Linked DNA regions of Alligator mississippiensis. The protein of the gene in region 4 purifies or fractionates together with the protein of the main gene of each other region. This does not show direct contact. Links are inferred from orthologs where the notes say so. Each region holds a gene or a part of one and is shown on either strand. Other genes may lie near its edges. The genes, in order: VPS13A, WDR44, RMDN3 and VAPA.

Region 1 (8,142 bases), about 100 Mb from region 4:
AATTCTTGGGCAAATGATTGCTAGCAAATACAGGGGCCTGAATTTGATGGCCCAGGCAGCCCTTTCCAGTCCTATGTTTGTAGCCAAGCAAATGTTTAAATAGGATGGGGATACTGTTTGGAAGTAGTAACTTAAGTCTTAGGATGGTAAGTTCATCTTATTTCAATACCATGCTAAGAAGGTATTTTCTTCCTAAGAGAATTTAGTTCTAAACTATTAATTTTACTGAGAACACAAAATTAGCAGCAGACATTAATGATCCTATGACTAAGATCATTAGGGCTTATTGACTACCACCATTCACTGCAGCAGGGCAACATTTAATGGGAGGAGTGTGTATTTTACCAAGCCTTGGAGAATTTTTGTAATGAAAGGATATTGAATAAAAGCAAAATATGCAACAAAAAATAAATGTTAAATAAGTTAAAATAGTAAAACAGAAGGAACCAGAAGGAAATCATCCCTCTCTCCCCCCACCCAACATTTCCCCTACTGATGCTGTCTAATTAGGACAGAGCTAAAATGTTGCATCGGTCCAGTGAATCAACTGGATGGAATTAATTTTCAATACACCATGCTGAATAAGGGCAGGATACTTGTTTATTAGATCAAAGTAAACCAAAATGCATAAAACTTTCCACAGAAATGCATGGCAATCATCACATATTGTAAGCATATAAACACCAAAGTGGAAGTTGGATGGAGTCCACCACAAGATAGGAAAGTAAGAAAAAACATGTCTAAATTCCTTTAAATGACAGAATTGATTCTGTTTCAAAGTGAGTAACTGACTAATCCTAAAGTCAGATGACATGTCATGCTCTGGCAGCTGAATCGTAAAATTGCAGGTCTCTCCCACCAAGGTAAAATTACCCATTCCTATTCAGTTGAAAAGAAGTTAAGTAGATTAAATTCACTAGTGCAAACACCAATATTGTGTGGGTAAACTACAAGGGGGACACATCTTTAAGAATATTTGCAAAGGGAAAAGAAAAAAACGTTTACCCTTTGTAATTATGTAGGCAACCGGTAAGTTTTTATAAAAATAGGCAACTCGTGCACTTTACATTAGAAGTTCAGGCTCTATCCACCCCAAGACCACATGACAACTGATACACTATTGTTGGCAAAAGCATACCCCTGTATAAAGCCATAAAGATTAATATTAAATGACCTATTTTTTTGGAACACAAGAGTGGCAAAGTAATTAATTAATATACTGGATATATTCCATGTTTACTAATAACCCAATCCTTTTAATTCAGATACCATTACTGTGTGTTCAGTGTATCTTACATGTAATGGTATAAGGACCATTATCATGAGACCAGCAGAAACTGGGCTGCTCCAACTTTAGAAATGCTCAGAGACTAAGTGTTCATGGAGACAGAATACCTTCCTCTCAAAAGATGTTACTTTAGAGGTGGATCCAGATAAAGGAGCAATGTTAGAAAACAAAAGAAAGAAAGGTCTTTGTGTAGTAGCGAATCATGGGAAGTTTCCAGAATCTGATCTAAACATATGAATACCTAATTAAGAAAACAAGCCTCAGCCCTAGAGATGTAAAAATCCCAGAGGATTTTGACTCCTAATATGTGTGTTGACACCTGCTGGCCAGATGGAATTCTTACCAGCCTAAAACCAAAGAGTCTCTATTAACTATTACTTAAATCCTAAATTGTGCTCGACTTATATTAATTACTATCCTGAACTGAGTTACCCCCACTCCACCAAGAATAAAGCTTCTGTTTATTTTCCAATTCCTGCACACCTTTGGCTGAGTGAATCCGGATGCCAATGCAGCTTTATAAGAAATTACTTGCATCAAGGTGTTACTTCTGACATTAATCACTTTTGGGAGCTATGCTCTTACAGGCTTAAAAAACTAAGCCAACGATTTAAGAAAGGGCTGTCCAACCAACCACTCTGAGGCCTGCTGTGCTCTGCCCTGCTCTGTTATTTGCTGCCAATTCAGGGTCTTCAGACACCAATGGTGACTAAAATCAGCAACAGGGGAAAAAAGGGGGCGAATGATGGCAGCATTTGTGCCCTGGGTCCTGGAATCACACTGACAACTGCCACCACCTTGCTGCTAACGCAGGTTATCTGGTGTGTGAGAAGCTTTGTGATCCACATTCAGCCTGCAGGACTGGCAAGAGTGTGGGAATGACTGGGACACCTCTGATGGAAGGGGCCTAACAGTTTTTTCCAAAAACCCACGCATTTACCACTCCTTAAAATTTTAAGGTAAAATTCCGAAGTTAAAACACTGCCTGGTAAATTTATGCTGTCAAGTAAACAAAGATGGTTCAATTTCACTTGTCTTTTCTTCAGTGCTACTAAACTGAGCTGGAAACATTAAGCAGCGAGGAATGGACTGTGGGGAAGGGGGGTGCTGATTTTGGTCACCACTGGTGTCTGAAAAGGGAAAAGTCAATGCTGTCACTTCTGCCTTTACATGTAGTACTCATTCCTTTCAGGCTGGCGGTGCTTCTGCTCCAAACTCTGCGGGGGGGGGGGGGGGGGGGGGGGGAGGGAGCGTTTAAAAGACAATTTTGCAGCAGGAGCCTCTCTCTCTTTCATAGGGCGTCAGATACCAGCTCCCAAACCTACGACCCGCTGTCTGAACAGACCGAGCTCTGCTTATGGACGTTTCAAAGCAACACCGTAGGAGACGAACATTTCGGGCAGACGCCTGCGCGACCACGGGGTCCAGCCGACCACACGGCACTGCCTGGCAAGCTGCAATCTTGATGAACGCCCAGGCGGGGCACATGCAACCCACACGCTGAGCAAGGCCCAAAAGGGGACGCTGTGGGTGCAGGGGCTGGAGCTTCCTCGCCAAGAAATTGGGAGCCAAACGAGCTGTAAATCCCAGGCATGGCAGGTGCTTCCTGGCTGCCTAGCACCCGTATTTCTACCATGCCCACTGCCCAGAAAACAGGCGACTCGGGCGGGTGCAGAGCACGGGTCCCCTCCCCCTCATGCCAGGCCCATTAATCACCCCAGCGCTGCGGGGGTGGCGCGGGCAGCGCCCACTAGACGCAGCTGGGCGGGGGGGGGGGGGCCTCGCAGGGGCGGCGGCTGCCCCGGCCGAAGCAGGACCCCCTACCACCGCCCCGCGCTACCTCCCCAGATGCCCAGCTTCAGCTGGGAGCTGTCCAGGTTCACCACGTAGTCGCCCAGAAACCGGTTCAGCACGTCCACGACCAGCGACTCGAACACCATTGTGGCCCGGCTGCCGCTGCCGCCGCCGCCTCACGCAGCAGCGCACTGCAGGCCCCCTCGCGCCCTGAGCTCACGCTGCTCCCCGCCCCGCCCCACTGCGCAGACGCAGAAGGAACGCTCGGCGCCTGCCATCTATGGGGCGGTGCGCGCGAGCCGGAGCTGGGGGGGGCAGCCGTTGAGACCGTTGCGGCCGGGGGTGGGGCTCGCGCGCCTCTCCCGCCGGGAGTCGCATGTGTAGAGCGCGGCTGCAGGCCCTGGGGCTCGGCCGGGACAGGACAGGGCGGGGCGGCCCCAGGCGCGGGGTCGAGCGTCTCTTTGCCTCCCTTGTCCCGGCCTGGGAGGAGCGGAAAACTGGGGTTACGTGGAGGGCCATGCAGCCTCCTGCTGAGCAAACGGAGCCTCCCAGCCAGCTGCTGTCCAGGGGCACGAGACAAGAGGGTTTGCACCTTAAGAACTAATCCAAAGCGTATAGATTCGAGAACTAATCCCAAATGATTCAAGAACTCACCGAAAACGTATAGATTCTATACATGCATGCGCGCGCGTGTGTGTGTGTGTGTGTGTGTGTGTGTGTGTGTGTGTGTGTGTACAGGGGTGTAGGTTGTAGCCGTGTTGGTCTAAGGACACAACACTATTAATACACTTAATAACTTCTCCAACTATTTGGGTTGGTCTAATAAAAGATATCAAATTCACCCAAGGAACCTTGTCTGCCTGTGTACACACACACACACACACACACACACATATGCATAAATGTATATTCATGAGGACTGGACACGAGTCCTCTAGTGTCCAGTCCTCATCCTTGCCCCTGCTGCTGCAGCAGATTGTTCAGGGCAACCATTGGGCTTGTAAGTCACCTGCCTACCCAGGGGACCTAGCCTCCACCCCCTTCCTCTCTCTTCTTTCTCCTTTTTACTCTTTTGTCCCTCCCTTTTTCTTCCCCGCTTCCTTTCTTCCCTCACCTCCCCCATGCGGTCATCTTCATTTGTAAAGGACAAACAACATATATTCACACATACATATATCTGCATGCATGTATATGCATGCATACATGTATACACATACATATGCATGCATATATACATAAACACATATACATATAGCAGGGTTGTGCCACATTGGTCTTAGGACACAGGCAGGCAAGGCATTTGGTTAGATGTGATCTCTTTTATTAGACCAACTGAATATTGACGGGGTGGGGGGAAGCTTGCAAAGAACTTTTTTCCAACTAATCGGTTGGTCTAATAAAAGAGATCACATCTGCACAAATGCCTTGCCTATCTGTATATACATATATTTACATAAACAGATAGATAGATATAGCACAAGCCTTTGTGGCTGGAACTCACTTCATCAGATGCCATAAACAGCTTCAGCCCATGAAAGTTTGTTCTGTATGTATGTACACACACACACACACACACTTCAACGTATGTTTTATCTTCAAAAAACATTTTTATCTTCAAAAAACCTCTTGACGGCCATCTTGCTGGGATCATTTGAACCCAGCAGTCTTTTCTGTCCACATGTAGGGGGGCTGGACCCGATGATATGTAAGGTCCTTTCCAGCCCCTAACGACTATGAAACTATAAAACACACATACATACACACACACACACACACACACACACACACATGCAGGTGCACACATATGCACACACACATATAGTATCCGCCTAAGGTTGAAGACCACTGTTATGGACTGAGATGTAGTTAGTCTTGTTAGTCTGCAGTCAAGTAGAAGGCAGGGTAGATTTGCCACACATGCACACACACACAGATATTTATCCACAAATCTACCCTGCCTTCTATTTAACTTGTATTCTTAGACCAACATGGCTAAAACCTGTATCCACGAAAAATAATAGAGCAATTCTCACATTGCAAAGAACTCAGAAAGATTGCAACAGGTCAACACTATGGATTCCTATTAGAAAACTCTGGGTTTATCTTCTGAATCATGCTTCCCCACCTAACGGTGCTGATATTGTGTGGCACTCCATGGCACCCTTGAAAACATTTCATGGCACCCTGGTTGAGAATCCCTGGTCTATAAAGTGATACACTGCCCTGCTTTCTGTCATAGCATATTCCTAGCAGTTGTCTTGACCCATGTAGTTTCCTTGCAAGGTGTATCAGAAGACCGACTTTGCCTCTCATGGAAGTGATCGCATAGGCAGGGATCCAAGCATGAATGTCTTAACCATGCTATTACTGGACGTGGCTCTGAGCAGTGCCTTTCTCCCATCTTGTTTCTATTAGCTGTTACTGGTTGCTGGCCCTAATCATCTGTAGCAAATTCTGGGAAATTGGTTCTGGGCACAATACAGCTGCCAGTGCAGGCAAAGGCAAACCGTACCCAGCACCATCTCCAAAAAAGATTAATCTTTTACTCCCAATTTCTGAACCAGCTGTGGATGTGTTGGAGTTAAAGTTATACTACCGTTGCTGACAACAGGTGGCAGTAGTAAGTAATTCTGCTGATGTTGACCAGGGTTCTAAGGTATTGTATGTATATAGTTATACCAAGAGTGAATTGAATAGAAGACTGGGGCTTATATAGCCCCAAATTATTTTTCAGAGGTTTTGTGGTGTAGAAGGGAAAGATTGTATATCATCTGGGCCCCAATGAGCAAAAAATAAGGAATAAGAATTCACAGAATGCAACATGCTATGTACAAGAGTTTGTAAAGCACCTCATAGCAGATTAGTTTTTATATGTACCTATAGATATAAAAACTGAACAGTGAAAGGAAATAAATTTAGGGAGAAGTCTAGGGGGAAAACAGAAAAGAGATTAAAATGCAATAACATAACCTTACTATTTTGGAAGGAAACACAAATGAAAAGTTAGATAGAAATGTTCCAAGGAGATTTATGTGCGGGCAATAAATGAAGACATAATGTCAAAATCACTGTGGTATTCATAAGCTGCTATTCTCATATATCCAAAGAAAAAGATTAAAGAGGATTAGTAATAGGAACTCAATGATGCTATTGAATATTGATTTTAAAATTGTGCCCAAATCTATAAAGATTAGATTAATTTATAGTTGTTTTTAGTATGCCCAGGGAGATAAATTCTTTGACAAATATTTACAGCATGCTTACAGTACACTGTACTAGAAAATAACAGCTATTTTTTTAGTTCAGAGTAAACATCATCTTTAATCTAATAACCTGTACATTAAGTTATAACAATTATATATATTTTATATATTATCGGTTTGGTTTTAGAAATTCATATACTGAACCTTGATGTATAATATACTACTTAGAACATTTTAGTGGTTCAACCCACAGAGCCCTAAATAGCATTAAAACACCACTTTCTCTGGTTATATTTGCATTGAGTTATGACCACTTCTACATTTAATGCAAATACATTCGGCCTCCATCACTTGCTTGTATTTCTGTATTTTCTTTATGACTTAATGCTCCTTTTTAACTAGCTCTTTTGCTGCTTGTCAGCACTTACATTGAAGAAAAGAACAGTCCTGCAAATAACTTACAAAGCAAGTCCATTTCGTGCAGTTACACTGCTTATTTGAACTGATTATTTATGTACACGATCCTTCCAGTCAAGGGGAAGGGCCCGGGCAGGAGCCAATGCAACCCGCAGGTCAGTGCATGACTGTGCAGATGGTGTTGCCAGCCAGGATTCAGCTCCATGGCCATGGGATGTTGCTCCAAGAAGAAGGATTGCTAGGAAGAGAAGGGATTCAGTGAATGAAGAGAGGGAAGAGTATCTTCACTGACAGGCTTGCTAACCTAGTGAGGTGGGCTTTAAACTAGGTTTGTCAGGGGATAGAGACCAAAGCCGTGAGGTAAGTGGGGAAGTGGGAGACCCAGAGGAAGCACAATCAGTAGGGGGCAACAGTGGAGGCCTTCTCATTCTTCCTTACAAAGTAAGGCAATTGGCTACTTACCTCAGGTGTATGTATACAAACACACAGAGCCAGGGAAACAAACAAGAAGAACTGGAAACCCTTGCACAGTCAAGGAACTATGATGTGATTGGAATAACAGCGACTTGGTGGATTAGTTGCATGACTGGAGTACTGTCATGGATCGGTATAAACTGTTCAGGAAGGATAGGCAGGGAAGAAGAGCAGGAGGAGGAGTTGCATTTTATGTAAAAGAGCCATATGATTGCTCAGAGCTCCGGTATGGACCTGGAGATAGGTCTGTTGAAAGTTTCTGAGTTTAGAGTCACAGAGGAGAGCAACAAGGGTGATGGGGATCTGTTATAGATCACCAGACTAGGAGGGTGAGGTAGATGAGGCTTTCTGCAAAGAGCTAGCAAAGTTTCCTGATCACAGGCCCTGGTTCTCATGGGGGACTTCAATCACTCTGCTGGAAGGGCAATACAACATGACAAGACACTTCTGGGAGGCGCAATACAGAAGTGCACAGGCAATCTACAAAGTTTTTGAAGAGTGTTGGAGACAACTTCCTGGTGCAAGTGTGGGAGAGACCAACTAGGGGCCATGCACTTGACCTGCTGTTCACAAATAAGGAAGAATTACTGGAGGATGTAGAAGTGGAAGGCAATTTGGGCAGCAGCAACCATGAAATGATCAAGTTCAGGATACTGACAGCAGGAAGAAAGGAGAGCTGAGTATGGATCCTGGACTTCAGAAAAGCAGACATTGACTCCCTTAGGGAACTGATGGGCAGGATCTCCTGGGAGGCCACTCTGAGAGGAAAAGAGTCCAGGAGAGCTGGTTGTATTTTAAAGAAACCTTACTGAAGGCACAGGAAGAAACCATCCCAATGTGCAGGAAGAACAGCAAATATGGCAGGCAGCCAGCTTGGCTTAGCAGAGAACTCTTTGGTGAGCTTAAACACAAAAAGGAAGCTTAAAAGAAGTTCAGGTTTGCACAGATGACTAGGGAAGAGTATCA
Region 2 (7,960 bases), on a different chromosome or scaffold from region 4:
AGATGGAACAGCCTGGATTTCGAAAAACATGTTTTAAAATGTGAATTATTAATACCAAGAAAGGTCAAACACAATGAAAGACAAACATTTTGACTACCGAATATGGTACAAAGAATGCTACCATGTTTACCCAAATACAAGATGACCCTGAAGTTAAGACAACCCCCCCAAAAATTAGATTCTAGATAAAGAAAATTTACAAATGTATTGTAATTTTCCATGTATGGAATCTAATTATTGGAGGATCATCTTAAATTCACCTCCTCACTACTGCAGTCAGAGGGGGGGAAAGGTGATGGGGGGCAGGCAGTGGGGGGTGGCGGGGCAGGTGGTAGGAGAGACAATAGGGGGCATGTGGTAGCATAGGCAGTAGGGGGAGTAGTGAGGGCAGGCAGTGAGAGGCAGGGAGCTTGCCCCCTGGCCACCTACTTCCACCACTTACCCTTCCATTGTGCCTGCCCCCCTCAGCCCCAGATCCCCCTTTCCCCCACCTTCATGCTGCTTCTGCTCCCCCCTGCCCTAGCCTTGGGCCTCCACCCCCTTCCTCCCATCTTTGACCCCCTTCCCCCCTCCCCCCAGAGTCTTTACCACCAAGCTGCCCCTCCACCTCCCTTCCCTTTCCTCTGCCACTCTTTCCTTGCAAGTTCCATCCCTGCTGGAGCCATGTCATGAGCATGGCTCCCATCCGGTCCCATAGCAGCAGTACAGAGCTGACACTGGAACACATGCTCTGTGCTCCAGGCTGCAGCAAGGATGGAGCCTGCTGGCATGGAGCAAAGGTAAGGAGTGAGGCAGAAGGGGAGACAGAGCATGGGGTGGAAGACAGCAGTGGTGTCTTGAGGCTGCAAGGGAGGAGTGTTGGGGGAAGAGGGGGAGAGGCAGGGGTGCAAAGGCAGCAGCTGCCTCCAGCCTCAACCCTGGGGTTGGAGCCAGAGCTGCAGCTGCTGCCCATCCCCTGCCACCTCATACTCATTGTAAGGTGAGGGGCTCCCCTTTCCACATTAAATAGGGGAAAATAACCCTCATCTTGTAATCGAGTAAATGAGATACTTGAAACCACAGCCAGCTAACACATGCTACTTTGATTCTGCGAGTGATACTTAGCACTTAAATTTTTAATTATTTACAAACATTAAATAGCCTTCACACAACTTCTGCAATGTGGGCAGGAAGCATAATCCCTATTTTGTAGGCAGCAAAACAAAGAAAGGTTGTGCGCCACTCCAAGGTCACAGAGGTTTCCATATAAATGAAAGGATTAGACCCATCCCTGTATTCAGAGCCCTAGATTATGTCTCTTTCTCTGCATTCCCAGATAATAAAGCAAAACCATGAATTTGGACCATCGCTTTGCTAAATTATAGTTCCTTTTTCTGGATTCACTCCCATCCAAGCTGCTACATACATATTCATGATTGAACCCTATGTTATTAATGGCAAAGTCAGGATTTAATGTTTTTGGAGAAAACCGCATTTAGTCAAATATCTAAGAACTGCCAGTTCCCACATTTTTGTTATCTTTCCCCCCTGCCCCCCCATGAACACACTAAGGACACTCAGAAATCAACCATCACATTTTTAAAGACTGCCAGTGTGGGATGCCATCTCTTACGAAAAGAGAAACATTTTCTGTGTCAGTGACCACTAGCCAAAAAAGGTGAATCAAAGAAAAAAATTATAATTTTGCACCTTAAACATTTCTAGAATGTGAACATGAATTAAAGGACTTCCACAGCCACATGTTAAATGCAAAAGACACCCTTTAAGACAGAAGTAATTTCTATGTCACTGTACATCAGAATAAGAAATAAGAACAGTTAACATCACGATGCACACAATCGGTCAGCTATCCTGTGTCTCGCTTATTTCCTACTCGACTCAATTTCCTCAGCAGACTTGTACACTACTGATTTGCCAGCATGATCATCCATTATTGGTTCTAGACACTAAGCCCAGCCAGTATTTTTATTATAGTTGAAGGGTTAGCAATGGAATAACATTTCCAACGACCTTCCTTTTGAGCTGCAAAAGGAAGTGTTCATATGTATCTATGGAAACAAAACATCCAATATTTGTTGCTTTGTGATCGACGGTGAGCTGTGGGCCAAACATTTTGGAAGCCGCCGCTCAAGGGGCTTCGAGTTGGCCGCTAAACGATGCGGCCTAACTGCGATCAGGATTGACACTAGGCGGTTTACACGCTGGGACTAGCATCCCCGAAATAAGGGCTGGTTTAGGTTTGCCTGAGAATACCGCTAGGAACACACAGCTCACGCGCTTTCTTCTCCACCACGCAACACACGTGACAGCAGGCTTCCCCGACACGGAGCACCCGCCCACGCACTGCAGACACGAGCCCAGTCAAGAACCCGTGGAGCGCGCCATTTTCGTTCTTTAAACAAAAAGTGTGGCGTTTACAACGGATAAACGGAAGAGAAAAAATTCATGGTTAATACCTCAGCTTCATAACATACTTCATGATTTAGATATTATTTTAGGATTTTACTTTTAAACCGTCACCGATACACATCAACTATACGATGCCGTACAACAAGCGAAAAAGGCCTATTCGACGGAGCCCCGCAGACACCGTTACGCGGCGCCAGCCACAAGCACGTCACCAGAAGTCTCGTTCTCTGCACCGGCTATTTTCCTTTGTGGCCGTGGTTTACCGCTGTGGGGCTCCCCAGTTATACACAGCGGCGAGGCCGATCGCTGCACGTGCGTCTTCCCTTTCACAGGACGCTGCCGCGCTTTACGGCTGCACGCCTGCCTGACGTTGGTCTCGAGACGAGACCCTCAGGACGTTGCACGCCTGCCTGATGTTTATATGAAGACAGGACTCTCAGGATGTTGCACATCCCTGACAGCGCTGTGGGTGTTGAGGGCAGCCCGCGGACGAGCGTGTCTCACCATGATCGGGTCCTGGCGGGGCGGGCCCCCCGGCCCAGCCTCGAGCATCCTATGATGCGTCGCGGCTGGCTCCCCGCTGTCCCCTCACCCCCGCCCCGCTCCCCCCAGCCCGGCGGCCCGGCACTCACGGCGCGGGCGAGGCGCCGCCCGGGGCCACGTCCACGTCCTCGGGCGCGTCGTAGAACTCCTCGGTGTCGCTGTCGGACGCCATGAGGGGCGGGGACGCGAGCGCGGAAGGGCCCGGCCCGGCCCGAGGCGCGGGGTGAGCACGGAGCGGAGGCCGCGCGCACGTCTCGCGAGAGCGCAGTGACTTGCCGGCGAGGGGCGGGGCCGCGCGGGTGGGAGGGGCGGCAAGGGGAGGAGGGGGGAGCGGCTTGACGCAGAACGTCCAGGGGGCGGGGCTGCAGAGGGTTCAGTGGTCGCGCGCGGCGCTCGGGCGCCCCCTGGCGGGGAGGCGCCGCAGCGCCCCGCCCCGGGAGACGGGGAGCGCTCTGTCACACTCGGTGCACCCTTGTTCAACCCGCGGCACCCCTCCTAGACTCGGGGCACCCCGTTAGACTCAAGACACCCCGTTGGCCGGATGCATTCCTGTTAGGCTTCAGACAGCCCTGTTAGACTCTTGGCACCCCTACTAGACTCAATGCACTCCTCCTAAACTCGATTCACCCCTGTTAGACTCGATGCGCCCCTGTTAGATTCACTCGGGACACTCCTTGTTAAACTCGTGGCATCCCTGTTAGACTCGAGACACCCCATTAGACTGGATGCATCCCTGTTAGACTCGATTCACCCCTGTTAGACTCAATACACCCCTGTTAGATTCACTCGGGACACTCCTTGTTAAACTCGTGGCATCCCTGTTAGACTCGAGACACCCCATTAGACTGGATGCATCCCTGTTAGACTTGAGGCACCCCTGTTAGACTCAATACACCCCTGTTAGATTCACTCAGGACACACCTTATCAAACTTGCAGCACCCCTGTTAGACTCAGGACACCCCATTAGACTTGAGACACCCCTCATTAAATTTGCAGCACCCCTGTTAGACTTGTGGCACCCCTACTAGACTTGAGGCACCCCTGTTAGTTTCGATTCACCCCTCTTAGACTCAGAACACCCCTTGTTAAACTTGCGACACCCTTGTTAGACTCAGGACACCTCTTGTTAGACTCAAGACACTCTTTGTTAGTCTCAATTCACGCCTGTTAGACTCGAGGGCCCCTTGTTAGACTCCAGGCCCCCCTTGGACAATGCCCGCTCTGAGCTTTCACTGGCTGTTTGACTACAGAAAACTGCTAGAGCCATTTTCCTGCTGCAAAGCGCTCAGCCAGACCACAGCAGGGCAGGGTGTTTCTGACCTCTGGGATTCCCATCTGAACTCTCTGGGTTTATCCCGTGAATCGTGTGTCCTTTGGCATCTCTGGCCCAATAAGTGGTGGGTGCCAGGGAGGGCATCGAATGCGGGATGGGTCACTCTAGGAATCCCTGGTTTGATGTCCTCCCAGGACAGCATCCACATCTGCCACTGTCAGAGTAGTGGGCTGCAGGGTCTGGTCCTGCACAGCACTGCTTCTGTGCTTCCCTAGCTGTGCTACTGACTCATGGCACCTCGCGGCACCCTTGAAAGGACCTCAAGGCAACCCCAGGGTGCTGCGGCACCTGGCTGAGAACCACTGCTTTTGGTGCTTTTTAAACATGTTCTTGACCGTAGGGTTCACTTTATACGGCCGTTTCCCCTCCAGCGCCAAGCAGCAGATGGACAAGGCTGCGGTTGCACGGTCAGAACAGGAACTTCTTTCTCACACGTTAAACGCCTCTTTCAGTTATGTCTGTGCAGTCCTTTGCTCAGTTCCTGTTGCTGAGCGATGCTTCTTGAGCAACCACTCTTCCCTCCCATGGTCGCTTCTCTGCTTCCCCGCGACCGCTCTTAGGAAGCTCCTTTCTCCTGCTTGCAGCTGGCCGAAATCCCTCTCTGCTAGTACCCCAGCCCCTAATCCATACAGCCTAGTCTGGAGGTAACAGGCCTTAGGCCTCACCAGCTTCACTTCCCAAGGGAGATCTCTGTCCCCCTTCTATGAGAGCTGTCTGCGAGAGAAGCTGACTTCTCAGCTCGTCCCCCGTGATGCTTAATGTCATGGTGTCTCCACGGAGGCCGCTGACGAGCCCAGAACACGTCTGCGGCTATACAAGCACCCACATCTTTCAGACATCCTCCAGAACTGCTTATGAGGCTTTCCAAGTATTTGATAGTTGCCATTTGCTCGGTATCATGGCCGCACAGATTAACAATGAGCTGGTTATAGTCTAGAGTGAGAGGGTATTAAACAGTCATTGTCTGGGGACTTCATTCTGTCCTGGTTGATACGCAGGCCAACAAACTGACCGTCAGCTGCAGCAATTTGCTCCACCAAGCGAACAAGACAGAGACATCAACCTTTCAGAGCAACGTGATGCTCAGTTCAATGCCCCTGACAGCTGCTTCTTCCAGCTGATCCATCAGCTGCTCAATACTGATACTGAACAAGGCCTTGCCAAACTCCAGTGGAAACAGGAAACCAAGCTGTGCCTGACTACCATTAGCTCAGACCCAGCTTTCTGCAGCACTGTACCGCTCTGCTATCAATAGCACTTCCTTCCGGGGGTGGGAGGTGCTGAATTTCATTATCAGATCCCACAAGCTTCATGATGAGCTGAAACAAAGGCCCGACCGAAGTCTATGAAAGGTTCAGCCCACGATGTATTAAATCCAGGTGTATTCCCCAAGAGCTGTCTGGCAGTACAGAGGGGAATGAGGATTCAGGTCTCTGTTACGTCGCTAACTCGAGACATTTACACAGAGACAGACTGCCACTGAGACTGAAAACAGCACAATGCAATTATAGGAGCCAGAGGAGTCCTCTTAGTTTGTCAGGGAAGGGACTGTTGTGCCAGAGAGAGCCGGGAAGAGCTGATGCGACATAAACCCAATGATGCTTTTATCTGCCTTCAGCAACTCAGTGGGATATTCCAGGCCTGTGGTGCCTTCCCAGGGTGCTGTAGATGAGAGAGTCGGGATCTCTTCTTGGTTCCTGGTCCATCCCAGAAACCCCGGGCAGCGCCTCTTGCTTTGCAATTGCTGCCCGATAGGTAAACTTTGAAGTGAACAGCCAGAAAAAGAATCAGATGCCAGAAATTAGACCACAGGGGACGTACAGCACTGAGAGTGCTAGACACCTGCATAATGCTCTTCCCTGGCACAGCACTGCTAACACATCCACGTTGTCTTGGTAGCCTCATTAGCAACACAGGAGAAAAGAAAAGCTCCTATTAAGGTTTAAGGCCCAAAGACAGTAATTAGAACTGACCTGTATTGCACCACTCCCTCTTTTTTCAGGGACTGTTTTCACTTATATAACAGAGCTAAGCAAAAATTGTTCCACCTAATCTTTAGCTTAGGATACATCGGCTTTTCCCGGACCTGAGGAAGGGTGTGTTGTGCCCGAAAACTTGTCTAATATTTCTCCCAACTGCATTGTTGGTCCAATAAAAGATTTCACTGAACAAATCTTGATTCTCGTACGTTCTGTGGAGCATCAGGGCTACGACGGCACTTCAGCACTATTCCCACCAGTCTGTAGGGAAGATTGTGTGTGAACAGCACAGGCCACAGTGCTATTCAGCCAAGAGGAAGGGATGCAAAGTAGGGACAGTGGAGAGCCCAGGTCTAAGTTGGTCTAGATTAGAGGTGGCCAACTTGGCGGCAGCATGTGGGCAGAGGAAGGGGACTGTAGTGGCACTCAGAGTGGGTGCAAGGCTAATTTATGATGCACCTGCTGAAAAGGTTGGCCCTGACTGCTCGTGACTACAGGAAACAACACACAACACATGAGCAGGGGATGCTCTAATCTTCCTGGTGCTGGGTATTAGAGGGTGACATCACTCACAGAGAAGAAGCAACCAGGAAAGCGCCAAACTGGTAATGAGCAGGGGCCAGGATAACCATCACGTCCCCGGGCAATCCTTGCCTTTCTTTGGTGAATGGAGAGGACAGGACCTGGCTCACACCTTGCACTGCTGTGTGGGGAGCAAAACACCACGTACAGCAAATGACTGAGTTGTGATTCACAGTGCGGTTGCTCCTGTTCTGGCACCAGTCTGACACACAGATTGCATTAGAGCTGATAGGAGAGCTGCTAAATTATCAAAGGCCGCAACAATGTAATGTCAGCTGGAAAGACAAGCATCCTGAGAAGCTGAAAGATGCATTTGAAATGTTCCTTGAATTGTTTTGTGCTTTGCCAGTAGCTGACATCAGTTGTACGGCCGGGTATATCGTTACACAGCGGAGACGACATAGCCGGCATCTTAAAGCACACCCAGAACCAGGTCGGGATTTGAGGTAAAACTCCATTTACTCTGGTTGCATACACACATAACTACAAATCAGAATCAGGCCCAGGCTCCTCTACATAAAATCTTTGCCCTCGTATTCAGAAAGCTGTCAGCCCACTTATGTCCAAGCGGAATCACAGCGATTGTTATGAGCAATATGCATGACACATGATCTACAGGCTCCCTTTCCTTTATCCTGCACATTGATTCTCAGTCAGGATGCCACAGCACCCTGGGGTGCCTTGAGATCCTTTCAAGGGTGCCACACGATGTCAACACTGTTAGGTTTACCACCTTAATTCACAAGATAAACCCAGAGATTTCCAATAGAAATCCATAGCCATGGTCTTTCTCAGGTCTTTGCAACAGAAAAACTCCTAATTTTTTTTTTTTTTGGTGGGCAAAAAAGGGGAGAAAACTAAGAGCTAGCATTTTCCAGGAGAAGCCTCAAATCTGTCCAGGGGTGCCTTGAGTCTAAAAAGCTTGAGGACCCCTGATCTGGTACGACAAGGGTCCTACATATAGGAGAGAATATCTGAGATGTCCTTAGGCACCAGTAAATCCCAGTGCTGATAGAAAGGGCCAGGACATTGCACAACGCTGGCCGCCACGGGGCTATGCAGCTGCTCGGTTCATGGAAGCAGAACAGAAGAGTGCTTCCTTCTTTCTTCTCT
Region 3 (7,643 bases), on a different chromosome or scaffold from region 4:
ATCAGGGGTGACCACCAGTATCTGGGGGAACGTTTGTTCACCAGAGCGCCCCAAGGGATGATGAGGTCGAACAGTTATAAACTACTGCAAGACTGTTTCAGGCTGGACATAAGGAAGAACTTCTTTACTGTCTGAGCCCCCAAGGTCTGGAACAGCTTGCCATCGGAAGTGGCTCAAGCACCTACATTGAACACCTGCAAGAGTAAATTGGATGCTTATCTTGCCGGGATCCTATGACCCCAGCAGACTTCCTGCCCTTCGGGCAGGGGGCTGGACTTGATGATCTTCCGAGGTCCCTTCCAGCCCTAATGTCTATGAAATCTATGAAATCGCATGAGTAGAAGCACCCTGTTTATACACTAGCCCCTAACGCCATGTACACCTGAGACCACTGTACCATCAGCCAGTAGAACAGCTGCAATATCCACCATCACTCACGCATAAATGGATGCCATTATCATTAGATGCACCCAGTAACTCTACAAAAAGTTGAAGTGAGTCCAGACCAAGGTTGGAGAAATATTTAAGACACGGATGTATAACTAGTGCAGGGATCGGCAACTCCTGGCACACATGCCAGAGCATGGCACACAAAGCCATTTTGCTTGGCACGCCAGATCCGGCCAAGGCTCTGGGCAGGTGCTTCTGGCCACAGAGCCTAGGCTGCTCACAGCAGGCAGCCAGGAGGCTGCATGCCCTGCTGCAAGCAGCCTGGGCTCCTTGGCAGGTAGCAACTGTCCAGAGCTCTGGCAGGATGTGGCAGGCAGCCAAAAAGTTGCAAACAGCTGCACCAGGCTATAGAGCCCCAGCACTGGCAGCAGCTGCAGAGATACCTAAGGGCGCATGACAGGGAAGAAGCCAGGGCCGTGCAATCCTGGGCCCTCCCCTGCTGTCCACCCAGAGATATGCATGCACCTGCCACCAGCAACAAGTCCAACCAGGGCTCAGCTGACCTTGGTGCAGCTGTTTGCAGCCTCCCTGCCACCTGCTGAGAGCAGCCCAGGTTCCATGGAGGGTGGAAGGGACCTGCCCAGAGCCCATGCTGCTATGGCACATGACTGGGAGGCTGCAAGCTGCTGCACTGAGGTCTGCTGAACCCCTGCCTGGCTCATTGCTGGCAGGGGAGGGGCTGGGGTTGCATTGCCTCAGCCCCTTCCCTGCTCCATGTACTGAGGCACAAATGCAGCTGCCACTGGCTATGGGGTGGCGGTGCTGGTGGCGGTGAGCAGGGAGCTCCTGCAGGCAACCACAGTGGTGTCGGCAGTGAGGGAGGGGTTGTGAGCGGCAACCGTCTACAGGCACTGCCAGCAGCATCAGCAGTAGCCAATCTCTGGGGGTGCACCGCCAAACTCAGGGGGTGCACATGCACCTGCGTGCACCCCCTACATGTCGCCAATGGAATGGGGCCAGGGCTCTGGAACCTGGTGTAGCTGTTTGCAACCTGTCTGCTGCCTGCTGTGAGCCTAGCCTCTATGGCCAGCAGCAGCTGCACATGAATCTTGGGGAGCACCGTGGGGAAAGGGCCAGGGCAGCATTACCCCAGCCCCTAAGATTGCACACCTCACAGCTTCCCTCATCTGCACCTGGCATGCCAAGTCAAGGCCTGGGTTGAGGTTGGGGTGTTTTAGGCACTCCAGTGAAAAACACTGCCAACCCCTGAACTAATGCTATGGGCAAATGTAACTTTCAACCAGTTTAAAAAGGGAGTGGGACTGGGAGTTGGGAGTTTTCCCCTCAGGGGTCTGCATCAGTTGTTACAACCTAATTGATATATCACTCTGCTGCCTGAATGAAACATAGCTAAAGGTGTGACAGAATTTGCTACAACTGTATACTGCATCTACAATTTGTTACCCTCATCTTACACACTGGCATAAGTGTTACCCTGTCTACCTCTCAGAGCAACAAGGAAAGCGAAAGACAATTTAATCTGAGTAGCAGGAAAAACTTCCTACTAGTGAAGTCAGCCAAACTGTGGAACAGCCTTCTAAGAGATATTCCAGGCCTTCTTTCTTACAACCTTTAAAATTAGACTAGACTCCTGACTAGACTAGACAGTGCATAGCATACAGAAGGTAACAATTCTATAATGGCAGAGAAAAAGAGCAGTGGATCCAAAGAGATTTTTCCAGCTCTACTGTTGCAATCAAAAGCAGGATTCAAACCTAGTGTAGTTAAGGACTGACAGTACACCTCATTCCATTAGTGACAGAAAGGCTTTAATAACTATATCACAAATGAGCTATAAAACTAAATGACAGAAAAAGCCTCCTTCCCAATATTCAGTAAGTGAGCTATCACAAAAGTCCTAGTATATGTTAGCTGCAATAGTCACTCTCAGAAATGCAGGCAGGAAGTGGTTTAAGTCCTTGCAGCCCTCACTGTGCATGGCTGGGCACACTGTTATTTTAATTTAGTAATTTAAATTTCACGTGTAGGTCTGGCCAGGCTTTCACAGTCATCGCTACTTTCTATGATGTTATTCTAACCATGAAACTAAGGCAGCTTTCTATTGCAGGAAGGAGTTAAAGGGAAGAAGCAAAGGGTCTAAAACATCACCTACCACATGCATAGTCCCTTTCTTTATTGCTTTAATAAAGGCAAGTATCTGCCAAATAAGACAAGCAACAGAGTTTCAACTAAAATTGTGGTATGATATATTCTGATATCATCTTTAATATCCGCAGTGATATGAATTCAGATTCATGCTGCCCCGAGGATCTGTTATTGCTTTACTGATAAGAGGACTGGAAATAATGTTTGGAGCCTTTCAAGTTGTGCAGTCTTTTTTTTTTTCTTTCATTATTTGACCTTTATCAGAACAGACATGCTTCAATTACTTTCACTGAGTGCAGCTGAGGTAGAAGCTTTATCTGAAAGGCAAAAAATAGATTTCCAGGCAAGATAGCTGGAAAGTTCAGAGACTGAGAAACTGCTTTACTTCTCAAATTACCTGAACACAACACAAAGGCCAAAAGTTTTTGAAGACAAAAGAATCCAAGCTTAAATGAGCAACACGTTGAAAGGCTGGAAGATCCAAAGCCTTGGCTTTCCCTGTCCCATTTCCTGACTCTCCACCAAAACCGCTGCCTCCTTGTGGCCCAGTTCAACATAAAATGCAACTGGGGCATGAAAAGGACCCAGAGAAGTGGTTCTCAACTTTCTTAGAGGGCAGACACTCCTCAGAAAATGCCAGCTCTCAGCTTTCACTCCTGTTTTGACTACAGAAAAAGAATAGAGTGATTCTTCTGTAGCAAAGATTACAGAAAAATTCTGGCCTGCTGGGTTCTATTTGACACGGTGGAATCCTATTTGAAATCTCTGGCTACATCCAAACGAGTGTAGATGTTTGTTTCCTGGGGGACTCATAGCAGCAGCATACTTTGTGTCACTGCTGCTTGCCCCAGGGGAACACCTGTACTACGTGCGCTCTGGCACATGGCAGGTTACCCCAGGTGGGGTAGGGGAGGCTGCAGCCAGCAACTGCACTGGCCCCAGCAGCCTTACCTGGGGTCTTGGGGACCACCCAGAGCTGGAGTCACAGCAGGAAGCCTGGCCAGCAGCTGGAGTGGGGCTCCAGCCAGCCAGGCTCCAGTTTCCGGTGATGTGCAGTGCTACCATATGTGCCCCCCGTTTCTGTGGCATGGGTTTTTTTTTTTAAACTGGGATCAAGAACCCCCTCCCCCACCCAGCTGCAAGACCACAGCATGGGGAGCACCTGCATGTGTGGTGTGGCACCACACACGGGTCTACAGCAGCACATCCCGCACACCTGCACTTGTCTGGACATGGCTCCACACTTCTCTCATGACGCGCATTTGCCCACCTTTGAGTGCTAACGCTACGCAGCGCCCTTGCAAGGCTCTCACGGCGCCTCAGCTCCCTGCCTGAGCACCACTGGACCAAGGGTTTGGGGCAGGAAGGCCAAAAGGACGCCTGGGGGAGCCCACAGAGAGAGCCGCAGGCCCGGAGCTCCCCAGCCCCAGTCACTGGGCAGCGTCCCAAGCAGTCGCACGCACAACTCGAGACTGAACTAACCCAGGGGCAGGAATCCTCCCATTCAGCTCCCCTGCCCCATGCTCATTGGGCCCTGCGGGTCACGTGCCCTTTGCGCATGGCCGGACACTTGCCCTCCAGCAGGGGGTGCTAGACAGTGCTCGATTCCGTCATTCCGTTGCCGCTTGCTGGCAGCGGCGAGGCCAGGGTGAACGGAAGCTCGGCGCTCTGTAGACGTCATCTTTGTGCGTCAGGGGGTGTTTGTCTGGGCTGCGGCGGGACGGTGACCGAGTGGGGCCAAGCCAAGCAGAAAGCGTAGGGTGCGCCGGCGTGAGTAACCCCGGGCGCCCTGCTGTGTGCTTGGCCCTATGTCGTGTGCACGGCGGGACTGGGGGCTGTGAGAGCCCCCGGAGGGGCCGCCAGCAACGCCGCCACAGTCCGCGCCAGCGGCCAGGGGCCGCAGGATGACAGCAGGCAGCCCCGCCCCCGGGGCCGGGCCGGGAGGCGCGCACGTGGGCAGGCGGGCCCCGCGCTGACACCCGGTCGCTTATTGCAGGTCGCCATGGCCAGGCCGGGGCCCGCCCGCCTGGCGTTGGTGCTGGCTCTGGGCGCTGCGGCGGGGCTCGGGCTGCTGTACGCGCTCCGCCGGCAGAGGAGGAACAGGCCGTGGCGCAGCGGCAGCGCCGGGGACTGCCCCGGGCAGGGCGCGGAGGACGCGGCGGGGGGCTCGCGGCGCCGTGACTGCGGTACGGTCCACGCCCTGCGCTCCCCGCCCCTCGCCTGGGCTGCCCCGTGGGTCGGAGGGTGCTGCCCCGTCCCGTCCCCCCTGTTTGGCATTGCTCTGCGCCCAGAGCCTCCCGGGGCCGGGGCGAGGGTAGAGCACGCGGTGAAGCCTGTGAGAGCTGGCGCCTCGGGTGGGTGCCCGCGACCTGCCCCCTGCCTTGCCCTGCGCCTGGCTGCGGGGCTCCCGTCCTCGGCTGCCCCGCAGCTGGCTCTGCCCTGCACTTCTCGTGCCCTCCAGCAGCCCCGTGTGGAGGCGCTGGCAGAGCTAGAGAGTGTGAGCCTGGTTGAGAGCAGCAGGGGCAGCTTCTCCTACATCCTTTTTAGCCCTGCGCCCTCCCCCAGCACCACGCTGATCCCCTGCTCCTGCTAGATCTGCTGCTCTGTTTTCTGCCGCTGCCTGATCTGCTGCTCTGCTCCCTGCCCCCTCCTCATCTGTCACGTGTTGCACAGAGAGACCTCCCGTGCCATGTGTGGCACCCGGGCCATGCAGGCTGGCCTCCCCAGCAAAGAACATGGTGATGAAAGGGAGCAGTCTCCGACTGTCACCATTTAGACGCCCGTCGTTTACATTCCCATTCTGTGCCCTGACCCCGATCTTTGTGGTGGGTTCCCCCATGCATGCAGTGGGACTGCAGGCAAATGTAGGGACTTGCCAATGTGCAACCAGCTTCCGGGTCTTGCCCAGAATAGCTCCTGTAGTATAGTTATGTCAACCCCCATGTATAAGCCAGGTCCCTGTTTTCAGGCTCAAGTTGAAGAAAAGTAGGATTTTTACCAAATATAAATTGATAACGACAGGTAAAGGCCTTGAATTCCTGTTGCCCTTACAAAATCCCACAAAAATAACCAAGGGAAAGACCCAAAAGATTGCTATGTTTACCTGAATCTGAGGTGACTTCAAATGTAAGATGATACCCTTCCCCCCCATTACATTTTGTACGTGGAAAATCTGTAATTTTCCATGTATTGAATCTAATTATGTGGGTGGGAGTTGTCTTAAATTTGTCACCCTGCTGCTGTGGCATGGAAAGCAGTGGCAGGGAAGGAGGTTGGGGGCAGGCAACTGATCTCTAACCCTTGTGCCCCCACTAGTCCACCTGTCACTTGCACCCCTACCCCCCTCCCACCAGTGCCTCTGCCTTCCTGCTGCCTGTGCGCCTTGCTACTTGCCACCCTGCCACCTTACCCCCCAGCTCCTACGCCTCTGCCACCTGCTCCCCCCACTGCTGCTTGCCCAGCGCAACTCTGGCTCCAGCCCTGGCTAGATAGCAGTGGTAGTACAACCCCAACTATGTCCCTTGCTGGGTCAGGGCTGGAGAGCTGCAGCAGCAGCAGGAATAACTCCCTTGCTGCTCTGCAGACTCCCCTGTGCTCCCGCCATCCTGCACTACAGCATCTCCCTCTTGTTCTTCCTGTATGCGTAGTCTTCCCAGTTCTCTCTGCCTCACATCACATGGTCTCCCCTGGTGTGTCTCCCCATCCTTGCTCTACAAGCCACCCTGGCCCTGTTCAGGTAGCAGCAGCAGTAGCAGCTCTGGCTGTAGCCCTGGCACTCAATTCCAACATGAGGCTCTGCCCATGTTAAATGGAGAATAAAACCTCATCTTAGATTCAGTTGAATATGGTAAGTGCACTAAAATACTAAAACAAAACCTACACTGCAAAAGTATTTCATAATGACATAAGAATTGCCACTTACTGGATTAGACCGTAGGTCCCTCTCGCCCACTATCCTGTTACAGAGTGCCTGGTGTTCTCTGCTTGGTGTCTCCCCTTGGCACACTGGTTATTAACCATTGACCAGCACTCCTGTCCCTGTTTGTTTATTATTTGGCCCCAGTAATCAGTTGTCAACTTTTTTTGTAGGCTCCCCATCTGAGGGAGGCCAATAAGCTACTTGATGGGCCTAGGCCCATGCCCCTCAAGGTGACAAATAGGCCTGTATCATATAGGGTCCAGTGTGCTCTGCTGGTTATTACCCTTTGACCTCCACTCCTGTCCCTGTTTTCATTATTATTTGTCCCAAGTAATTTATAATATGTTATTAGTGGCCCCCAGTACTAAAGGGGGCTTATAGATCCACACCCCTCAAGGTGACAAATAAGTCTGTCACAGTGTCTGATGGGCCCTGCTTGGTGTCCCTGCTTGGCCAAGCAGGGCCTAAAACTCCCTAAAACTCCACCTTTGGCCTTTACTCCCATCCCTGTTATGTTTTTAGTTGTCCCAAGCAGTCAGTTGTTGTCTACATAGTGACCTCCCTTTCTAAGGAAGGCTTATAGTGTTTCCTTGTGGCCATTGGCTCGCATTCCCTAGGTAACAAATAGGCCTGTGTCATGCAGTGGCTGAGTGGATGCTGAAAGGGAGAGTGAACTGAGTTTGACCAGGGTTGATTTTTTTTTCCACTGTTCCTCTCTCACTTGCAGCCTCCAGCATTTAAAGTCTAGGAAGTTCTAATTCAGAGGCTGTATCCCTAACTCCCATGCTCAGTAGCTAGTGACTGAAGACAGAAAAGTCCAGTTCTGCCACAATCTGATTATAAGCACTCGCTATATAAGTTGAGTGTGATTTTTTTTTTTTTTTTATGTAGAAGAAAAGGTAGACTTATAATAACAGTGTTCTACCTTAATTTACTTTTAATCATTTATGCTCTCTCTTTTCTAGAACATCCTTTAGCCTAGACACTGAAGAAAGAGTAAGTTTTGCTTCTGTGTCTGGTCATCTTCCATTTGCTTTCACTAGCATACTAGTAAACCCTGTTGTCTTAAGGCAATGTGATTCTCTGTGGTACCTTGAGATCCTTTCAAGGGTGCCATGGAGTGCAACATAATGTTAGATGTTAGATTGTAACATTGTTAGATGTGGAA
Region 4 (7,523 bases):
CATCCCAAAACATAATTATGACGTGTGTAACAGGGATGTCAATAAAGAATATTTCATGAGACTAATCCTTACGCAAAGGAGAACTTTTTAAAATCTGAAATTGCTCCTTTTCAAGAGCCGGTAAATTACTGGAACTATGATCATAAGTAAAATACCACTTGCTAATACTTTAGAGAGTCACCATCATGTCAATTAATCCCCGAATTTAATCATACTATAAACATATATTTCCATATTTTTTTAATTCCAAACAAAACAGTGCATTTGCATTCATATTTTTCTCTGCAGGATTTGCAACCCAAAGAGTACATAAATTAGCTAATCTCGCTTCAATTTCCAAACTGAAAAAAACAAACTAACTTAATCCATCAAATAAATTTTTAACATCCTAAACATTTACATCTTAAGTTACTTTTTAATTTACTTCCTCTACAAAAATGGAATAGTCTTGACAGAAGAGAAGATACTTGCTAATGCTTAAAAACCCTCAAAATTAAATATGTTGAATATTCAACAGGTTACGTTAAACAGAATGTGAAGGCAAACTGAAACAGGCCATAAATGTTTCTAATAAATATTGACAAAACAACTGACTTGTCAGTGATGAACACTATATTTTGAAATAATTTTGACAGTAGAGGTAAAAACACACCTCATTGCAAGGTTTAGCTGGAGCTTACAGATAAAAAAAAAGGTCTGCCACCCAAAAAAGTAACTTAAATACAAGATATCCATTCTTTTTTCCAACTTCTGAATATAGGTGTATTCAAAACAAGTCTTTATCACTCTAAAGAGTAACACGTTGAGATCCTAAGATAGCACTAGAGAGATTTAAAAAGAAACTTGTAGTACCAATATTTAAGCAGGTGACTTTTTTTAGAAAAATGGAATATATATTTTTACCCTCAAGAGATTCATGGAGTTAAAATTACAGCTTCTTCAAATGGGTTTCACAGAACCAGAACTCCAGATAAATGTATTTTTATCACATAGTTCAGGTGAAAATAACCTATATTAAAGATAACAGATGTTCCACTTTCCAATCTAAAAGTTTTTAAAGCAAATAATGCATTTCAAAATCTACTGTAATCCTCTAGTTATACTTTCCCAAATCTCAATTTGTATACTAAATACTTTAGTGTAAAATAAGGGAAATGGCTCATTAAAGGCACTAGCATGGTTCACAAATTAAGAAACAAACACACACACTAGACCAGGCTGCAAGAGAGACAAATTTAAAGTTCTCAGCTCTGCCAGTGATACACTGAGACGATCAGGAATTCATTTCACCTTTGTATCTGGTTTTTACCATTAAGTTTAAAGAAAAAATAATTAAAATCATTTTGTAAAACATTTGGAAGGGAAAAACCATCACATAATGAACAGACGAACCTGATTAATTTTACAAACTCACAGAATTGGCTATGACTGACTATATGAAGAAAGAGAACTGGTTTTATGCCATTCAAGCACGGGGGTTTTAAGTCAGACACCTGTAATGACTACAGATACTAGAAACAATGGATTTTAATCTTATTCATGGGAATCATTCCCAAAACACAGCAATGATAATGGGATGCTTTTAGACCCTTCTGAACCAAATTTTACTAAGTCTGGGGGAAAAAAAAGGGACCAAGAGTTGAGTATGATTCAAGCTATTTGTCAGTGGTCAAAGGTACTTTGTCTCTATAAAACTCGTAAGTGGATTTCTGTTTGACATTAGTATTTTCTGGAATGCCATTAGTAATGCGATAGTACTTTGCTGAGTGAGCCACTGGAAAAATCTAGGCAAATCAGTTATAATCACAAAAACAAGAGTTTACCAAAGTTACCCAACTTTTTGACACATTAGATTTGAACCAGCACACATTTTACAGGACAATGCCTCTTTCCAATCTGAGACCACATGATTTAGAGCTTCACTCTGCCAACACCTTACAGTCAATGTTAGTTCATTAGGAAAGAAAGAGTTGTTTTCAGTATGCACACTGAGCAATGAAATCAGACAGGTATGTGCTGGGATAGCAGCATGTTGGAACAGCACACAGGTCTACGTGAACTGATGTACTGATTTTCCGCTACACATCTAAATGACTGCACACTGCTGTGCTTCAGAGCATGCGCGTGCTTTCACACGTGGCCTTCCACGAAAGCCTTCCCAAGACTTCTAAATGGAAAAAAAAATAGCTTCCACTTACAATTCGTACTTCTGCTGCTCTAGTGGTTCATGCTGAGAGTATTAATTAGCTTGCTCCTAGGCTTCATGCGTACCTGGCCGCCCAATAAGTCAAGGACAGCAAGTCTTAAACCCCCCCGCATCTGTTTCTCATCCATTAATGCTGCTTCCTTTCAACTCGGGAGGATATTCTGCATGGACAGGCCTACGCTACAACGCCGTGACCTCTGCTTTACTTTGCTTTAGCATACACCCGCCCTTTCTCACCCTGCCCTTCTCGGGTAAACCCAGCACCCAGGAATCCAGGAGACGGTGCAGCTGCGCTACAGAGCAGCCAGTCGGCATTTCTGAGCCAATTCACTTGCGAGATCTCAAAGGCAATGTTGTCACCAGATGGACGCCCAGTTCCTCCCGCCCTTTTGGGGCTGCAAAGGGGCAACTTTCCAAAATGACACTGCCCAAAATATTCCCAAAGGGCTCTTGGCGTGGGCGGGAGGGGGCATGCGTGCAGCGGACTGCTCGGGGGAAAGAAGTTTTCATCCCAGACTCTGCCCTCGACGTGGCAGCACCTCCCCCCCGGCGCCTCAAGGGAACTGCCCCCAACTCATCGCCGCCCAGGGCGATCCTCCAGCCTCAGCCTCGACCGCTCGCTGCGGCGGAGGCAGGGCCCAGAGGCGCCAGGGGAGCCCGCCCCGCCCCGCCCCGCCCCAGGGACCTGGCGGGGCTGGGCCGGGCCTAAGTAGCGCTGGCGGCCCCGCAAGATGGCGGCGGGGCCGCGTCCCGCTCTGCGCCCGCGCCGGGCTGGGCCGCGGCCCTTCCCCCACCCCGCCGCAGTCGCCACCGCCGCCCCGACCCCGGCCGCACCTTTGAATTTGAGGTCGGTGGGCGGATCGAGCACCAGGATTTGCTCGTGCTTTGCCAGGGCCGCCGCGGCCGCCATCGCGCGCGCTGCCTCGCTCGTGGCCTCGCGCCCTCACTGCGGCGGCAGTTGGCGACAGTAGGGGAGGGGTGGCGCGGCGGCGGCAGCAGCTGCGGGGGGAGGAGGTAGAAGGAGGAAGAGGGCAGTGGCGCTGACGCTGGGGCCACGGAGCCGGGCCGAGCCAAGCCGCCGCCAACGCCGCCTCGTCCCCGCTCCGTGCGCCTGCGCACGCTCCGCTCCTCTCCGCTCCCCCCGCCCTTTCCTGTCGGAACTGACTCAACGGCCCGCGTACTGCGAACCCGCGCCAGCCTCACCGCGGTGGGGGTGGAAGGGGGACACGCTGCGCATGCACCAACGAGCACGCGTGCGCGCTCTCCCCCGACCCGTGTTTGGCGTTTGACAGCGCACTCGATTGGGTCTCGTGCTGCCTCCGCCGAAGCGGCAGGGGGCGCGCGAGCTGGAAAAGAGCGAAACTCGCAAGGGAAAACTAAGGAAAGAACTGCGCATGCGCGACCTTCAAGGCGTAGGCTGCCGCACCCTCCAAGGACTGCGAGCCCCAGCATGCAATGTGCCGCCGCCGGACCGGGGGGCGCGGTGCATGCTGGGATTCGTAGTCCTTCCAGGGTCTGTACCGTGAGCAAAGCTGTTACCACTGGCGCCACTGAGCAGCCAGGCTAATCCTGGCCCTGAGCAGGGGCTGATGGAGCCCCAGGGGTGAGGGGCACGTCTCAGCCCTGTGGTGAGGGCCCAACAGTACACAGCAGCCCCTGTGGATTTGCCCCACCCTATACACCCCCTTCCAAGCTGCTGGCTCTGAAGGCCCATGTGCTGCTGCCTCCAGGCGGGGAGTGCATCACAACACCCACCACAGGCAGCCCTCCACATAGCCTACATCCCTCTGCCTGGGGAGAGGGCACTGCCTTGCTGCAGGGCCTGGAGGGACCTGTCCCAAGGGCCTCAGGCTGGGGTCACCTGTAACCTGCTAAAGGAGCTGGAGCAGAACGTGGAGATGAATGCAGACGGGGAGGCCTCTCCAAAGCCACCCTGGCCAAAAGCTCTTGTATGAGACTCAAAAAGCAAGAGCCAGCCTTTCTTCCTTTTCATTCTTCACAGCATAATGTTTCCCAGCACTGGCTGCAGTTAAGGGCTGGTGGAGGGTTTTGCATGTAAAACCCTTCCCCGCTGTCACGTACGCCAGTCATTCCTCCTCAGACCTGGTGACAGGCCTGTCTCGCCCACAAAGGGGTCATAAAATTAAATTAGTGGGTGGGAGCTTTAAAATTAACCAAAGAAAGTTGTCTGTCTCTCCAAACTGCTGCCCCATGCATCGGCAGCAGAAGTCGAGGATTAATGGGGCTTAGCCCCTCCAAACTAATTTTGTGGCGGCCAGTGACGGCAGTGTTGGGCTGTAACTCAAGCTCTACTTCTCTGTGGACAAGGAGAACTATGCGATTAACCACCAGCACTCATCTGATAATCAGTCAGAAGCTTTATTGACTACAAAAATATCCATTAAACACAGTTATATATATATTGCTCAACAAGCAGCAGCACCACAGTGCTGCCATCCCACAGTGCCCGGTGCTGCTTGGTGGGCAGCCAGGCCAGCGTCCCAAGCATTCTCAGCGCCGCGTGGCTTCACTGCTCCAGCACCACTGCCACACCCTGCTGCTGCAGCGCCACACCCTGCACCCCCACCACATGCTCCTCCACCGCCACATACAACACTAGCATGTGGTGGCCCTGCAATAGCCCTGCGTGAGAGAGGGGCAGGAGTCAGGCAGGCGTGCCCCACACTGCCCTGCACCACCCCCCTACACCCCACCCTACACTGACCCCCGCCCCCCAAAGCAGCACAGTAAAGCATCTTTTAAGCTTTACCCAACCCCTCAATTAATATTTTCTCCCATCACCTATGGCTCCATGTCCCTGCTGCCTGCCCCTTCCCTCCCCGCCCCCGCCCCCCCCCAGCCACAGATAAGTGGCAGGGTGGAAAGTCAATGGCGGGTGGTCAGGCTGTTTCTCCCTCACTTCCCCACAAGCTGTATGCTGTGGGTCTCCCCCACACACCCCACCCCGCACTGCATGGTCTTCCCCATACCTCCCCCACTGTGTAATTTCCCTTGTGCGTCCTCCATCACATGCCTTCTCCCCGCATAAGTCACCCCAGTGTGGGGCAGGCAGCTGCTGTGGCTCCCGCTTCTGCACCAGAGCCAGGGCCACACCAGCCCCCTGCCCCAAGATGTTACTTGAATCTATGACAAAGCTTTTTCCCCCATGTTGGTGGGGGGTGGGACCTCGTCTTAAAAACCTCACTTTTGGTTTTGACTAAATATAGTAATCGGTATAATCAATAAAAGTTATGTTGTCTACAGCCCTGATCCTGCAGACTTTTATCTATCTTAACTTTACATCCACCGAAAAAACAGGAACTGACACACACATTAACGTAAGCATGTGCACATATGCAGGGTAAGAATCTAAAAAGTTGTCACTACTAACACCCCAGCCTCCGTATGTTATAAGTCATCAAAAATTATCTATTACTGTTTTGCTGGGGTAGCAGACAGATCTACAAAAAAAGCTGCTTCTGACAGGTGTGTCTGGCTAATTAGAGTAAAAGTTTCTGGTTCATTTTATGTAGATCTGGAAGATTAGAGATTAATCATTTTAAAATTTAGTTAATATCCCACAAGGCAAAGAAATCGGATTTCTGTAGTAACCTTACAAATCCAGTGTACTGCAGGTATGATCTATGTTTGTATCTGAGCAGTCATATACTAGCTTAGCGTTCTTGTGTTTTATCTGAGAGACTATTCTATTTATTCCCTTTCCACTCAGAAAAAATAAACATCTATGGTATCACTGATGAAGTCCTTTGACAGCTAAGAGTTAATTATTTATAGAGTTACTGTGCAGGTGATACCAGTGAGAATCTGTTAGGTTTCAACATGCAACACATAAATTATGAATAAGTGAGAACTTAAAGATTTCTTTAAATTTTGCTTTGATGCATTGGAACGTCACGAAGAAATACATAAAGAATATTCTGTAGTTATTCTTGTTTTATAGACAACCATTAAAAATACACATAAAATTTTGACTTCATCACTCTCAATTAAATCAGCAATTTTTGTGTCCTCTGTACCTTTTACCAGGGATGATTTCATATTTTCTTCCAGATCATTCATAAAGGTATTGAAAAGCATTAGACCAAAAACAGGTCCCTTCAGAACCCCATGTTTTTGTGGTATTCCTTAATCATCCTATGGCACTAAATCAAATGTCCTCTATTAGGGTAAGTACATAAGACCAACAGAGTAACCTTCAGTAGTCAAACTTTGATTCACACAAAACAGTAATAGTTTGTCTGCCAAAACCCATTTTCCATAAATTAATAGTGATTAGCACAATACCATCAGATTTTAATTCTATTTAATTTTAATGTTATTATTAATGGCAAAAATTAATTTCAGTTGTATTTTTACTTCTGTTAGCAATGTAGAAATTAGTTTTTAATGACCTTCAAATGGCTAAATATCTATTCTAGGGATGCTTGGGATTCTTACATTTCACGCTGAGTTTCCAAGGTATTTAGAATAAATATAATTTTGCTTGTAATACTAACAGACTTGATGTGGATGTTTCTGTGATGCTAAAAAAATTGGGAACCCCAAATTCCATTTTTACTGTGTCAGTTTTTTAGAACTGAGCAAACTATTTAACTTTTCTTAAGAACTCTCAGATCGTGCGTTCTGAAAGTGTGAATCATGGGTTAGTAATTGAGTGACATAAGGTGTGACATTTATTCATCTTTTTTTCCTTTGTCTCCAATAAGAAATGACATTTTAGACCCCTTTATTTCTACTTCCTGAGGGAAAAGTCAGCTGGATGGAGTTTCCTGGATGACTCATTTGGGTTGCTAATTTAAGGTTGTGATAATAGGTTTCAGTAACACCTTAAACAATAGGCTGACCAAAAGGGCCTCTTGCCAAATGATAATTAATCTGACTTCAGTTCTATGGGAATAAAACTGGGAAAATCATTTAATGGAATGTCTCTTAAACCCAGAAAGCAGGAAATCACTTTATGAGATTATGACATTTGGTTCCTTACTCTTTATCTGGACAGTGGTAAATCAAGTAGGTTAAACTCAAGAGACATAGTCTTCAGCTCAAGACAACATCACCTCTTACATACTTTTCAGGTTTATTGTCTTGATCCTATATATCCTTTTGATAAGACTTGAATTGCTAGTGAAATCCAATCCATTCTTCCACTGTGCTATCAGGAGATACTAGATAACAAGGAAACAATGTTACTACAATTGCCTCACTTGAGTGGCTTGAAACAGCACAAGAATATTAAACAAAACCTGCTCTGCTAGAAAGGCCCACAAAGTGGCCAATGCTGATTGAGAGGACTGGA

What was found.
Region 1: the proteins of VAPA (region 4) and VPS13A purify together in Homo sapiens (co-immunoprecipitation; 3 studies listed by BioGRID and IntAct, counting the BioPlex papers as one, with this or other methods). This does not show direct contact. The link is inferred for Alligator mississippiensis from reciprocal best matches to the Homo sapiens genes VAPA and VPS13A.
Region 2: the proteins of VAPA (region 4) and WDR44 purify together in Homo sapiens (affinity purification with mass spectrometry; 3 studies listed by BioGRID and IntAct, counting the BioPlex papers as one, with this or other methods). This does not show direct contact. The link is inferred for Alligator mississippiensis from reciprocal best matches to the Homo sapiens genes VAPA and WDR44.
Region 3: the proteins of VAPA (region 4) and RMDN3 purify together in Homo sapiens (co-immunoprecipitation; 4 studies listed by BioGRID and IntAct, counting the BioPlex papers as one, with this or other methods). This does not show direct contact. The link is inferred for Alligator mississippiensis from reciprocal best matches to the Homo sapiens genes VAPA and RMDN3.

The regions. Positions count from the first base shown.
Region 1 is NC_081826.1:199,029,984-199,038,125, reverse strand, and holds the start of VPS13A (intermembrane lipid transfer protein VPS13A), read right to left. Parts: upstream 3,282-8,142; 5' UTR 3,229-3,281; coding exon 3,129-3,228; intron 1-3,128. UniProt on the Homo sapiens protein: Mediates the transfer of lipids between membranes at organelle contact sites. Binds phospholipids. Required for the formation or stabilization of ER-mitochondria contact sites which enable transfer of lipids between the ER and mitochondria.
Region 2 is NC_081831.1:81,640,292-81,648,251, forward strand, and holds the start of WDR44 (WD repeat-containing protein 44), read right to left. Parts: upstream 3,201-7,960; 5' UTR 3,125-3,200; coding exon 3,042-3,124; intron 1-3,041. UniProt on the Homo sapiens protein: Downstream effector for Rab11 which regulates Rab11 intracellular membrane trafficking functions such as endocytic recycling, intracellular ciliogenesis and protein export.
Region 3 is NC_081825.1:240,765,776-240,773,418, forward strand, and holds the start of RMDN3 (regulator of microtubule dynamics protein 3), read left to right. Parts: upstream 1-4,260; 5' UTR 4,261-4,558; coding exon 4,559-4,742; intron 4,743-7,643.
Region 4 is NC_081826.1:95,451,416-95,458,938, reverse strand, and holds the start of VAPA (vesicle-associated membrane protein-associated protein A), read right to left. Parts: upstream 3,354-7,523; 5' UTR 3,117-3,353; coding exon 3,041-3,116; intron 1-3,040. UniProt on the Homo sapiens protein: Endoplasmic reticulum (ER)-anchored protein that mediates the formation of contact sites between the ER and endosomes via interaction with FFAT motif-containing proteins such as STARD3 or WDR44.